Linked DNA regions of Oryzias latipes. The protein of the gene in region 3 purifies or fractionates together with the protein of the main gene of each other region. This does not show direct contact. Links are inferred from orthologs where the notes say so. Each region holds a gene or a part of one and is shown on either strand. Other genes may lie near its edges. The genes, in order: sike1, slmap and stk26.

What was found.
Region 1: the proteins of stk26 (region 3) and sike1 purify together in Homo sapiens (affinity purification with mass spectrometry; 4 studies listed by BioGRID and IntAct, with this or other methods). This does not show direct contact. The link is inferred for Oryzias latipes from reciprocal best matches to the Homo sapiens genes STK26 and SIKE1.
Region 2: the proteins of stk26 (region 3) and slmap purify together in Homo sapiens (affinity purification with mass spectrometry; 5 studies listed by BioGRID and IntAct, with this or other methods). This does not show direct contact. The link is inferred for Oryzias latipes from reciprocal best matches to the Homo sapiens genes STK26 and SLMAP.

What each region holds. Positions count from the first base shown.
Region 1 is NC_019865.2:1,582,168-1,586,490, reverse strand, and holds the start of sike1 (suppressor of IKBKE 1), read right to left. Parts: upstream 2,912-4,323; 5' UTR 2,641-2,911; coding exon 2,482-2,640; intron 2,359-2,481; coding exon 2,253-2,358; intron 2,180-2,252; coding exon 2,037-2,179; intron 1,939-2,036; coding exon 1,825-1,938; intron 1,087-1,824; coding exon 979-1,086; 3' UTR 71-978; intron 1-70.
Region 2 is NC_019863.2:32,540,432-32,544,594, reverse strand, and holds the start of slmap (sarcolemmal membrane-associated protein), read left to right. Parts: upstream 1-1,255; 5' UTR 1,256-2,715; coding exon 2,716-2,913; intron 2,914-4,163. UniProt on the Homo sapiens protein: Associates with the striatin-interacting phosphatase and kinase (STRIPAK) core complex, forming the extended (SIKE1:SLMAP)STRIPAK complex.
Region 3 is NC_019876.2:4,690,895-4,694,542, forward strand, and holds part of stk26 (serine/threonine-protein kinase 26), read right to left. Parts: intron 1,126-3,648; coding exon 940-1,125; intron 440-939; coding exon 297-439; intron 224-296; coding exon 127-223; intron 31-126; coding exon 1-30. UniProt on the Homo sapiens protein: Serine/threonine-protein kinase that acts as a mediator of cell growth. Modulates apoptosis. In association with STK24 negatively regulates Golgi reorientation in polarized cell migration upon RHO activation.

The DNA.
Region 1 (4,323 bases), on a different chromosome or scaffold from region 3:
ATGACAAAGTCCAAAATATTTGTTTTTCGTTTTCAGGTTGACAAAACCGGACAAACACGACTCTATTTACCCAGTTTAATGACACCATCTGCCAGGCATCGGTCCAGCTTCCTCCCCAGTTCCCTTTCAGACATTCTGGATCCGTTAGCTTAAAACGACAACTGTCAAATATAGGGCTCATGCGGCGTTTAGGTTCTGTGGGAAATCCGAGCTTTCTGACGATTGTCTTTTTAAAATGTCACTTAAATGTGACAAATATTGTTACAACCAAACTAATGGAAATTATGAAAGTTGCGTGAAAAGGTGATTTGATAGGTTTTTAATAGCCTAAAAGCGTTTGCGCTGTACTTTTTCCGATCTCGCGATAGGTTTTTAGTAAGTTGACTCGATGCTGCCGCCCTGCGTTCGAAGAAGGGACAACACCTCAAATGCCTTGGAAAAACACTTCTTTTATTATTATCGTTTGATTTTGTTTTACACCAAACCATGAAGTTAAACTGAATTCCTGAGATGAAAACAGAACGTTTTTCATTCATACAAAAAAATTAAAAAACACCTACTGCACAAAATGCAACAGCACAAACCAAACTTCTGTTCATTCAAACAAACAGGTAAATATAATCAGAATAAACTGCTTGTTTTCCCCAAAGGTCCTCTCTGTTGTGAAACAGAGCGGTGCTTGGCTTTAATAGGAGGCAGTAGAGATTGTGTGAACATCAGGGGTCCAAAAAAACTATGACGATTAAATATATATCTTTGGCAAAAAAATACTTTAAATCTACTTTGACAGCACGTGTTAGAATCTAATAAATACACCTCAAAGAACAGCTAATTGAATGCCGTCCACAGTAACACTTTAATTATTATCTTAGCTGCAGACAAGATGATAGATCTTTTTTTTGTATTAAAGATGCCGTATGACTTTCTATAAATAAATCCATTTGAGGGAATAAATTCACACGCAGAGCTCGATGGAGCTCATGAAGTCGGTTCTGCTGCTTCAGGCTGGTGGGGTTCTTCTTTTTTTGACATTTTGATGCTTTCTTTGCTGATGACCAAAAGGTCCTGAAGCTCCTTGTTCTCAATCTGAAAGAGAGAAAAAAACCAAGAGACTGAATACTTTCCTCCCAACGGACTCCATCTACTACTTTTCTTCTTCACTAAAACAAAAGATTTAAATGTGTACATGTGATAAGATTTACACGTCTTTCACAATTAAAATGTTGTACTGCCTATATTGTTTGTTGTTCTAGATAAAAGAAGAGTATGAAATAAAGACAAATGCCTACATTCTCTGTATTAAAGTATTTTACATAGAACATTTGAAAAAAACCAAAGTCTTGTTAAAAACGCCAACCTGGGACTGAGTTGCCTAAACACAGCAGTTTTCATCATTCTTAGTTTTTTTAATGTATATAAAATGATTTTATAGGAAAAAAGAACATTTATGCAATAAAGCTGCAAGAATCAAACAAATATGTGATCTTTAGAATGTTTTACTGGACAGCTTCCTGTTTTTTAGAAAAAGACATTTCGTTCAAAACCTTCAGGCTACAACTTTATCTCTGGAAGTTTTTAAGAGAAAAAAAAAGGTTTCTGTAAGTTTTAAGTGACGCAGTGAAGTCAGATCTGGAGGTGAAATGGATGGATGGACCAAAACAAAAGGAGTTCCTTCTCAGATCTTTGGTTCTTGTGACAAACGTCTGCTGTTGTGAAGGTTTTCGTGGGCCCTCCTCCGTCCCCTCTGCTGCTTTTAATACTGCTTTAGGGGGAAGAAATGACCTCTGACCTCTTGGGGAAAGAGGCTCGATCGTCGGTACTCACCTCCAGCTGAGCCAGCCTCTCTCGAACGGAGCAGTAGTGCTGATCGTCCACCTGAACGGCTCTTCTCATCACCTGACCCATCTCGCATATCTGCTCCACCTTGTTCTGCACTTCCTGTAGAGACAAGTAAAAACGCCACGAGTTTTCTCCCAAAGCCGGCCCTCAAAGAGACGATGTCACGCTGCACAAAGATGGTGTGAAAGACGCTGTACTTTGGCGTAATCCTGGTGGAGGCTCAGAACCGGTTTGGTGTCCAGCTCCTTCTTTGCCATCATCAGCTGCAGCATCTGCTTGCGGTACCGACCCATGATGAGTTCCAGAGCGTACTGGTGTTCTTCAAGAGACAGCCATAATTCTGAGGAGAAAGTCCACCCAGAGGGTTAGAACAAACACGACCCACCGTGGAAACCGCCCGAACAGAATCCTACCTTTGTTCTCCTGCTGCAGATCCTTGATTTGAGTGTTTTCTTGGGTCAGAAGAACATGAGGTTTGTACTTTGTGAGCTCCCGTAGTTCTGCATTGTCTTCCAAGTGCTGTCAAACAAAATGTACTAACATGTTATTTACTAGCAAAAGTTATCCATTAAAAAATCCCACTGGTATTTTCAGCAGCTATGGCCGCCCAGCACCTGAACGTCTCATCCGCCGAGTCTTTACCTTCTCCGGAAGGGCATTTCCCACCTCCTTCATGTCCTGCACTCTGCGGCTGAGGGCCCCGGACTGCTCGATCAGACCCTCGGCGGCCGTGTCGTGCTCCTTCAGCCTCTCGAGGAGGGTCCGAGCGTCGCCCAACACTTTCTCCAAAGTGCAGGCCATTTACTGGAAAGCGTCAGGTCCGCGGGGCGACGCGATCGAGCCCCTGCTTCACGAGCGCGGTTCCAGCGAAACTCCCTCCAACTAAGTTGGCTCGAGCTCGGCGCGTAACCGCGGCGCTTCCGAGCACAAGCCTTGCGGGAACTTTCCCGCCTAACGCCTGCACTGTTTTCACACGGTATGGAGAAAACGGTCAAAACAGCAAACAAACGCTTTAAAAGTACCCCCACCTATCCGTCAAGCAGACGATACACTGCGATCAATGATGACGTCACTTCCGCGTTTTCCCCGCCCCCTCTTATGATGCATTCAAAGACAATAATGATAAGGAAAAATAATGATTATCAATGAAAACGAATTAATCTACAACAAAACGTACTAATTTCTTTGCAATCAGAATCGAATAAAGTATATGAAGAAAAAGCAGGAGAAGCCTTTGTTAGATCCAGAAGAAAATGGTTAGAACAAGGTGAAAAATGTACTAAATACTTTTTCAACTGAGAACAAAGAGATTTTGAAATTTCCTGTCTGCGTCAAATTAAAATTGGTAATTCAATAAGTGAAGATACAAAAAAGGTTTCTCAATATGTTGCAAAATTCTATCAGGAAACTTACACTAAAATTTGCTTTAGAGAAGAAGATATTGAACTATTTATCAACAATATTAAAGAAAAGATTGGAAAAGTAATTGAAACCTTTGAAAAGTCTTGTGACCAGAAAATTAAAACAGAGGAAGTTGAAAATTGTAGTAAATCTCTTAAAGATAATAAAAGTCCAGCAAATGAAGGACTAACAAGTGAGTTTTATAAATGTTTTATTGCCAAATTAACCTCTTTTCTAGCTAATTTATTTGAAGAAGTGTTAGAAATTGGTATATTGCCCCCAACTCTCAGACAAGGCATCATCAAACTCATCCCCAAACCACAAAAAGATAAATTATGCATAGAAAACTGGAGACCAATTAGTCTGTTAAACAATGATGCTAAAATATTTGCTCTCATTTTTACCAAAAGATTAAAACCAGGACTGGATAACATTATTGAAGAAGAATGATCTGCTTTCATGCCTGGTAGAAATATTGCCAACAATATCAGATTAATACTAGATATCTTCTTCCTCTTTCGGCTTCTCCCATCAGGGGTCGCCACAGCGAACGCGTGGTAAACAGGGCGTGGTAAATTTGGCAACGTTTTTATGCCGGATGCCCTTCCTGACGCAACCTTCTCAAACTGGGCTTAGGACCGGCACAGAGGTAGAGAAGGGAGCAGGGAGCAGCCTGGAGTCGAACCCTGGTTTCACGGACAGAAGGCGCCGCAAACACGAGCTAAACCGGCTCCCAGATTAATAGTAGAAATGATTGATTATAATGAACATATTAGAGATGATGGTTTTATCTTATTTGTTGACTTTTACGAGGCATTTGACATAATTAGTCACAGTTTTATGACTCCAGTTATAAAAGAATTTGGATTTGGTAAAAGATTTTTAAAAGTGATGGAGGGTCTGTACAATGGATGCAACAGCTCCATTAAAGTTGCACATGGCACAACTCCTAGATTTGACACAAACAGAGGAATATGGCAGGGATGTCCTCTTAGCCCTTTCCTCTTTTCACTAGTTGCTCAGGTTCTGGCCCTTCATATTTAAAAATGTCCATTTCGAGGTATTACAGCTTTGGGAAGAGAA
Region 2 (4,163 bases), on a different chromosome or scaffold from region 3:
CAACAGGGATGTTTTCTGGAAGCATCAGCAGAATTTGACCTCCTTCCACATCCCAGTCTCACAGCGAGTCACCTGAACAAAATCCTTTCATGGAAATGACTGCTGTCATAAGACTGTCAGGGATTTCCATAGCTATGATAACGCTGTCAGAAACATAAAAAACACTAAAAAGTGATGATTGTTCTCACCACTCAGAGGACATGTGAACATCTCATGAAGTATTTCGGGTTCTTCTTCCCTCAGAACAAACAAAAATCAAACATTTTTGATGGTACAAAGTACAAGCATGGAGAAAAGAAGAGAATGAAGCAGTAATAAAGGAAAACCTCACAGATGCAGGATAAGTCCATGTGTTTGAAATAAACTCCCTGAGTCATTTGGAAAGCTTTTACAAAATCAGCAGATTTTCCTAGATGCTTTGTGGATTGACAGTCAGTACGCGGCTGCAGGTTAGGGTTGGCAGTTGTATGTACACCGCAAAATCTTAAATGCTGAATGGCGTAAACTTATATTTCACTTTACAGCCTTAAGAACGGACAGAATTGAGGTGAAACGTCTTCCAACTTTAAAACCTAAGTCCAGATGACCCCTAAACCTCCTACTAAGATGAAATCAACCTGGATGAATAAGAGTCTTCATCGACAACCTTAAGAATGTAAGAAGACCCTTGTGTTGAGAAAAAAAATTATAACGTTTTCAAAAGCAAAATAATCGTAGTTTAAGAAAACATGTCTAGATTTTTTTTCTTGGTTAGACCATTTTTTTCTTACCCCTATGGCTTTTTTTTATTGCTAATTTAAAGAGAATTTGCCCATGGATTAAGAAATGTGGACCTGTTTTTGCAGTATGACATTCCTCATTCTGTAGGCTGTTTGAGTGTCAAATGTACATAAACCTTTTAGTAGGTGTTTATTAATTGCTTGTTTTTGATACTTTAAATGTATTAGTAGTAAATTATCAAGTGTTTTTCATGACTTAATTCACTGTTTATTATTTGTAAATTAACTATGATGTGATTACTTAAAAAAAGAAATACTGCATTGAATAGCATCTCCAGAATGGTTGTTGTAGAAAACAAATCCAACTTCAAATTCAAAAGAAAAAAGTTTCTGGAGCCAGACTGTAGGTTGATTTACTTGATTACATCGTTGAGGTTACTGAGCGCGTTCAACATGATTACGTATTAGTGAGTGTCTGTGCTCCCCGGCCCTCCATTGGACAGAGAGGATGGTTTGATCAATGTGTTGCTGTGATCTGGACAGTGAACGCACCACGCCTGTACTTTCAGTATGGCGGCTCGGACTCACGGAGGAGAACAACTTCTTCCAGGTTCCTTCCACAAGACTGTCGGACGACGACGGCTGTAACGCGCGCCCGCTGCGGAAAACGCGAGCCGGGCTACCGTAGACGACGGGCGGTGTACGTAACGACCTTCGCGGACATTTCTTCTGGAATTTAATCGCCTCGGTGTGATGCGCCAGGAGCCGCAGTCTAGAAACTCCCGATTTTTTTTCCGCTCCGCCTGTCAGTTAGCCGGCTAGCTGCGGGCTAGCTCACCTTGATGCTAACGCTCGGTTGCGGGACTCTTAAATTTGAAAAAAGCCCGAAAGCTTTCGGGTTTTGCCCGCTTTATGGGACAGTGATGGCGCATCGCGTCCCCCCGGTAAGCGAACTCGTTGAGGAGGGCAGGGAGAGAGGATATGAGAACCCAAGTGATAACTTTGTCGGTACTCATTAGCCTAGCTTAGCTCGCAGGTCTACTGCTGGCCGTTAGTTAGCGCTTCCCCCTGTCCACTCGCTAGCTTGTTAGCATTTTAATGCACAACACTGTTCGTAAGTCTCCTCCTTGTCCCGACTGAGACTTGAGTTTTGTAGCAGTTGTCGAGACCGCGTGGATGCTTCATGTTGACCGGTGATGTTTCGTAACTCAGGAGTTGCTTCTAGCTAGGTTTCAATCATTAGCGATCAGTTAGGTGTTCTGTTTGGGAGGGGAGGGGGGGCAAACGTGACGTTTGTGGGCTCGATAAGGTTCTCCGTCCCAGGTCAACTGGGTCATGGATTCCGACAAACTGTCTGTAACAAACGGAGAGGAGACAACGGACATCTAACCTTTGAGTGTTTGTCTGGAGTGTAGTGTTCACGTGAGTGTTTGTATGTGTGCGCGCGCGCTCATTAGCTCAAAGGCGCGCGCAGATATCACCGCGGTTGACGTACAGCTGGGATAGACAGTGACCTGTTGCTGGTTCGCGGGGGAAAAGATCCGCGTCTGCAGGCCGCCGCTTCCTCTCCACGGCTCCGTTTGATGGACGTGAGTGGCTGTTTGCCAGCCCGTCCGAGCTCCACTCAGTCATGTTGGTCTTGACATATGGCACCTTGGGCTGTACATAGTATTGGCTGTCAAATATAAGTCGTAATGTAGCTTCAGTGGACAGCCAGCGGAAGGAATGTCTTGTCTTTTTATACACGTGGATTTGTTTTTTTAATTTAAACCTTTTTTGGAGGGGGTCTTACTTCAAAGTGGTGAAGCTGTGAGACCCAAGTGGACAATGCATATTAGCCAGTGCCTACAGGAATAAAGGACTCAGCATTCTGCCTACGTATAGGCCACCTATATTTTGGATTATTTGTTAGGGATTCCCACAACAACCTGCCAACCTGGATCAAGAAAACCTGTCCGTTGCATCTGGTTGGAGCAACACTCTAAAGCTAAAATCAATGCCTTCAGCGCTGGCTGTGTTCGCCTGCCGACCCAACTCGCACCCATTCCAGGACCGGCATGTGTACCTGGATGAGCCGGTCAAAATCGGCAGGTCGGTGGCTCGGTGCCGCCCTGCCCAGAACAATGCCACCTTCGACTGCAAGGTGCTGTCCAGAAATCATGCCCTTATTTGGTTTGACCACAAGACTGGCAAGGTGAGAACCTCCCGCTTCTGCGTAACCTTTACCAGCTGACTGATCACATGTTTCCACAGGTCAAAATGTTCCAGTTCTATGAAATGGTTTTGTTTTTTTGTACAACCCATGCTTGACCTGCATAAATGGGTGGTTTGATGTCCTGTATTGGGGACAAGCTGAGGTTTTCCACATGTCTCAGGTGTGTCTGACGCTACATTTCAGAGGTGAGACAAAGAAATGCGGTCCGTGTTTGGATTGTCAGTTGGGTGGGCTGTCGTCACAAATATGTGCTTTTTCTTAAGCTGCTTGAAACGCCGTTGATGAGTTTTTAACATGCATTTTGACTACATGCTGGATCACAGCAGAACTCAGACACTTTGCTCTCCTGGGAAAACCAACATTGCCTTCAATGTCGATGGGAGTTGCCAGATCTAAAGTTAAAACCTTACACGTCAGCACACCTTAGGCAGGAAAGGTGCAACCAAGGAGAACATACCTGAGTGTCTTTAGGGTATTTATTAAATCCTGTTTAGTACCTACAAGTCTGACTCAGTTATTGTGTTGTAAATGCATGCAAATAAAGAAACGAGCAAATCCTTGACTTGATGATGACAAACTGAAACGTTTAACTTTGTCAAATAAAATGTAAATCTCTTATTTCATGTAGGATTTATATTTTAAAGTGGTGTATGTGTGGACATATCAAAAGCTAAGTACCACAATAGCACAGATGTGTCAACTTAAATCCAATTTTTTATTAAATCTATAATTCTGATTGTTGAGCTTATTTGACATCCTAAATGTGGTTAAGTACACAGAATGTAAAATAATTAGTTGGGAGTTAGAGGCTCCATCTCTCCAGTTCCCAGCATCCATCAGTAAAGGTCCCACTTCTTTAGAAGTGTTTTGTCTGACCTGTAGTGAGCTCCTACATGGTGATACTGCTCCAATGACATCCATCAGAAGAGTTACAAATATAGAAAAATTAAATCCACAGTGAATTTTAATGAAGTTTTATTTTAAGGGGGCGAATAAGATCTCATCAGCACTCGTGTTCCTTTTGGATTCTCGGCTTTATGCACATTTTGGTTGACTAAATTGACTGCATAGAAATGAAGTCTACGTTAGCGGACTGTTGTTGACGGTGAGCAGGTCTAAGTTTCAATCTGTGCAGTGCACTCCCTCTGGTGTGTTGAGCCTCTGGAGAACAGGTTGAACAGGCTGAGACAGCATCAGGATTACCCTGCACTGTGGCATGCTGGGAGTTT
Region 3 (3,648 bases):
GCTGGCAGATTTACTCAGCTGCTCTGGAGTCTGAAGATAAAGAACATTTCTGCTTCAACCCGAATGCCCTAAAACCATCGGAGGATCAGGATGAAGGTTCCCGAGGAACCAGATACTGCGACTAACCGTCCCGTTGAGGACCATCCTGCCTTCTGTCTTCTTCTTCCGGACGGTGGTGAAGGACCACTCAGGATGCATGTCGTTTTCTTTGTTGCTGGACTCACTGCTCACACAAACAAACAGTTGTAGGCGCTGAACCGACATGCAGCAGCAGCAGAAGAAAGCCCTGAAGTCACCTGTCTGAGTCGTCGGAGCTGCTGCCGCTGTGACCTTCCTCCTTCCACCTCCTGTACCTGTCGATCAGCTCGCTCAGGTAAGACGTCTTTTTACAGTGCTTGGTGATGAACTTGTGCTTCAGCAGCTCTTTGGCGGTCGGCCGCTGCAGGACCGTAGAGTGAAGCCAAAGGAGGGGAATTAAAAAAAAAAAAAAAAAGAGGAAATGAGATTTTTTCAAAGTAAGAGGCAAAAAAATATAAAATGATTAAATGTTTGGCCTCAGGTTTATTGATCAAATTAAGGAGATTTAATAATTTCTTCCACTAGGTGGCAGCAAAACACAACAAAACTTTCATGGAGCGGCCTTACGTTTACAGGAGTGCAAAGTAACTAAAAATAAAGTTTCAAAATGTTCCATTTGGTACCAAAGCTCCACATGAAACAAAACTATTTCTGTTTTTTCTTTAATAATAAATGATTAAGTTGTTCTTATAGTTACTTTAAAAACTTCAAAACACCTAAAAATCTTTTTTATCACAACAAAAAGCTGGATATGACTTTAGAAGACGTACAGATATAAATTTGTATCAAGACAAAAGCACGATTTGACCTCCTTAGGATGGAAAAATCATCTATTTGATTGAAAGTAACTTGGATGCGTACAAAGGCCGGGTCTTTGTTGAGGCACGCCTCGGTGAACTCTTTGAAGCTCTTGGAGAAGTCTCCGCTCAGCGTGGGAGGAGGAGACTTGGGGATGTGGAAGAGGACGCGCATGGGATGCATGTCTGAGTTTGGCGGTTCCCCTTTGGCGAGCTCGATGGCCGTGATGCCCAAAGACCAAATGTCTGCCTGTAGAGACACACAGGAGCAGAAAACATCATCATCAGTTTGAAAACCGACCATTCGCTGACGATGCGACTTTAAATGTGTGTTGATCAGACATGAGTCTGTCAGTCAGTCAGATTATATTGGATCAGATTTTTAAAAATGGCAAGACCTGTATGGATTTTAAACATTTTTAACTAGCTATTTATACGCCAAAATGTAGTTCAGTGTCCGACTTTTCCACTTACACCCCCAATCAAGAGATGGCAGCTCAGCACACCAAGACTCTTTCAGCAGCTCAGCACCAGAACCATCTCATGCTAGCATGCTAGCCTAGCGAACATATCGGGTTGTCGGAATTGAATTTTTTGTTTTTAAACTTTACTAAAAAGTTTGGGAGATAGCGTAGTCACAATTATGTTTTAGCGGTATCCATCGTTTTTTATGCATTGCAAACAAGGTTAGGAGTTACAGATATTGTGAACCTGCTAACTCTATGCTATGCTTTTTTAAAAGTGTTTTTATACAAGGTTTGGGGTTAGCGTGGTCACAGTTTGTTTCGGCCTTAGACTGTTACGAACAACTAGCATAGTCAGAGAAACAAACTTTATTTTAGAAGTATTGTTTCTTACGTGTTGCAAATGAGGTTAGGAGTTACAGGCCTTGTGACTACGCTAACGCTTCTGACGCAGCCAACCCGTAGCAGTTTTGGACCGCGTGTTACTAACAAAGTTAGGGGGTTAGCGTAGTCACAGTAGTGCTGTGACGGTGTGGGATTTTTTACCACCGCTGTGATGAAGCAGCAAGAGTCATGGTGTCAGGACCCCCATAATATGTATAATGGGCTGCCCCGCCCTCCCTTGCAGTGGAGGATGAAGACTTTTTCTACACACAGGACTAGCAGAAAAAGTAAATTATCAGCAAAGATGAATGTGTTTAATGTGTTTATTATAGTTCAAATCACGCGCCATATGCAGAACTTTCAAATTAAAAAAACGTGCAGTGATGCGGTTATCGTCACAGCCCTAAGTCACAGTAACGTTTATTTTAGCAGATTCTCCTAACGAGCTTAGAAGTTACAGTCGTTGTGAATACCCTGACCCAGCTAGCGCTTCTAACCTGGCTACGTGTTTGTTATACCTGTAGCGTGTTACAAACATGTTCTAGAGTTCCTGTAAACATCAGTCTGACTGACTGGCAGATTCATGCCTGACTCTGGTCTCGGTTAATGTGCCGTATAGTCCAATGTGCCGTATGTTTGAAAACAGACCATTCGTTGACGATGCGCCTTTAAATCCGTGTTGATCAAATATTTCATAAATGATTCCAAGAAAAGCAGGAAATCCCCAGAGTCTTGCCAACACACAACCCTAGAGGAAGCAACTCTGAAAAGGTTTCATCAACGCCTAAGAGTCCAGAACAATGAGTCTTCTCAACTCTGACAGTTGTGTAGCGGTGGCACCCTTCACAAACCCTCACCACACACACCGACAGACACACACACCCACACACACACAGACAGACAGTATGGTGCTGAGTCACAGGACGCTCGGTTACTGCTAGAACGTCAACTCTGCAGATCCATTACAGTTACACACCGACCATATGGCAGCATGTGGCTACACACAAACGCACCGCTTGTCTTTTGAACGCGATGAATGAAAATAATGTGTATTTAATCATCCTTTGCTTAGAACAGGAGATCAGAATCAACTTAACGTATAAAAACAAAGATTTGGAAAGAAAGAAAGAAAGAAATGATATTGACCACTTTAAATAACGTCACACTCATAGCTTTTTCTGTCAACTTCCTGGTTAACTTCAGCAGTAAACAAAACAAACGTAAATGTTTTGGATCGTTTAACAAAAAAAAAAACGGAAAATGTTTTTCCATCCTCAAACTTTTACCGACTGGAGTTCAAGTGGGTCGATGCTAAGAAGAAAGTAAATGAAGACGCAGCAACACCTCAATAAAAAGGCAACAAGTAGGAAACATCGACTGTCCTTTCATCTAAACTACAACAGTCTTTCCAACAGACCTGTTTTATAAGCTGACTTTCTATTTTTAGAAGAAAAACCAAAAAACTCCAACATTTTAGATTTTGCAGACACGTTCATGCTAGCAGAAAGTCTCATTAGAAATATTTTTCATTTTGTATTTTTTAATTGTTGACTATGATTAACCAAAATCCGTTTTTCAGAACCTATGTCAGTAAACTGAACTGTAGTCTTTTTTTTTTTTATTTACGAAAAAAACTCGATAGTTTTACTTTGAAAAATGAGGACGTTCACTGACACTTTACTTTGGAAATCCATCAACTTCCGGTGACAGTAGCGCATTTCGTTTGTTTACTTTATATACTTAATATAAAACATTCTGCTGCAATTTTTCTGAAGTACATTACTTTTTTTTACCACACCCCACTATGTGTAAAAATATTCACGACTCAGCGATCTGCACTGAATTAATCAGGGATATATCGCAAATATCCGAGTCTTCAGGTACTTGTTGCAGCTTTAGATCCAAAGACATGAAGAAGTTCTAAA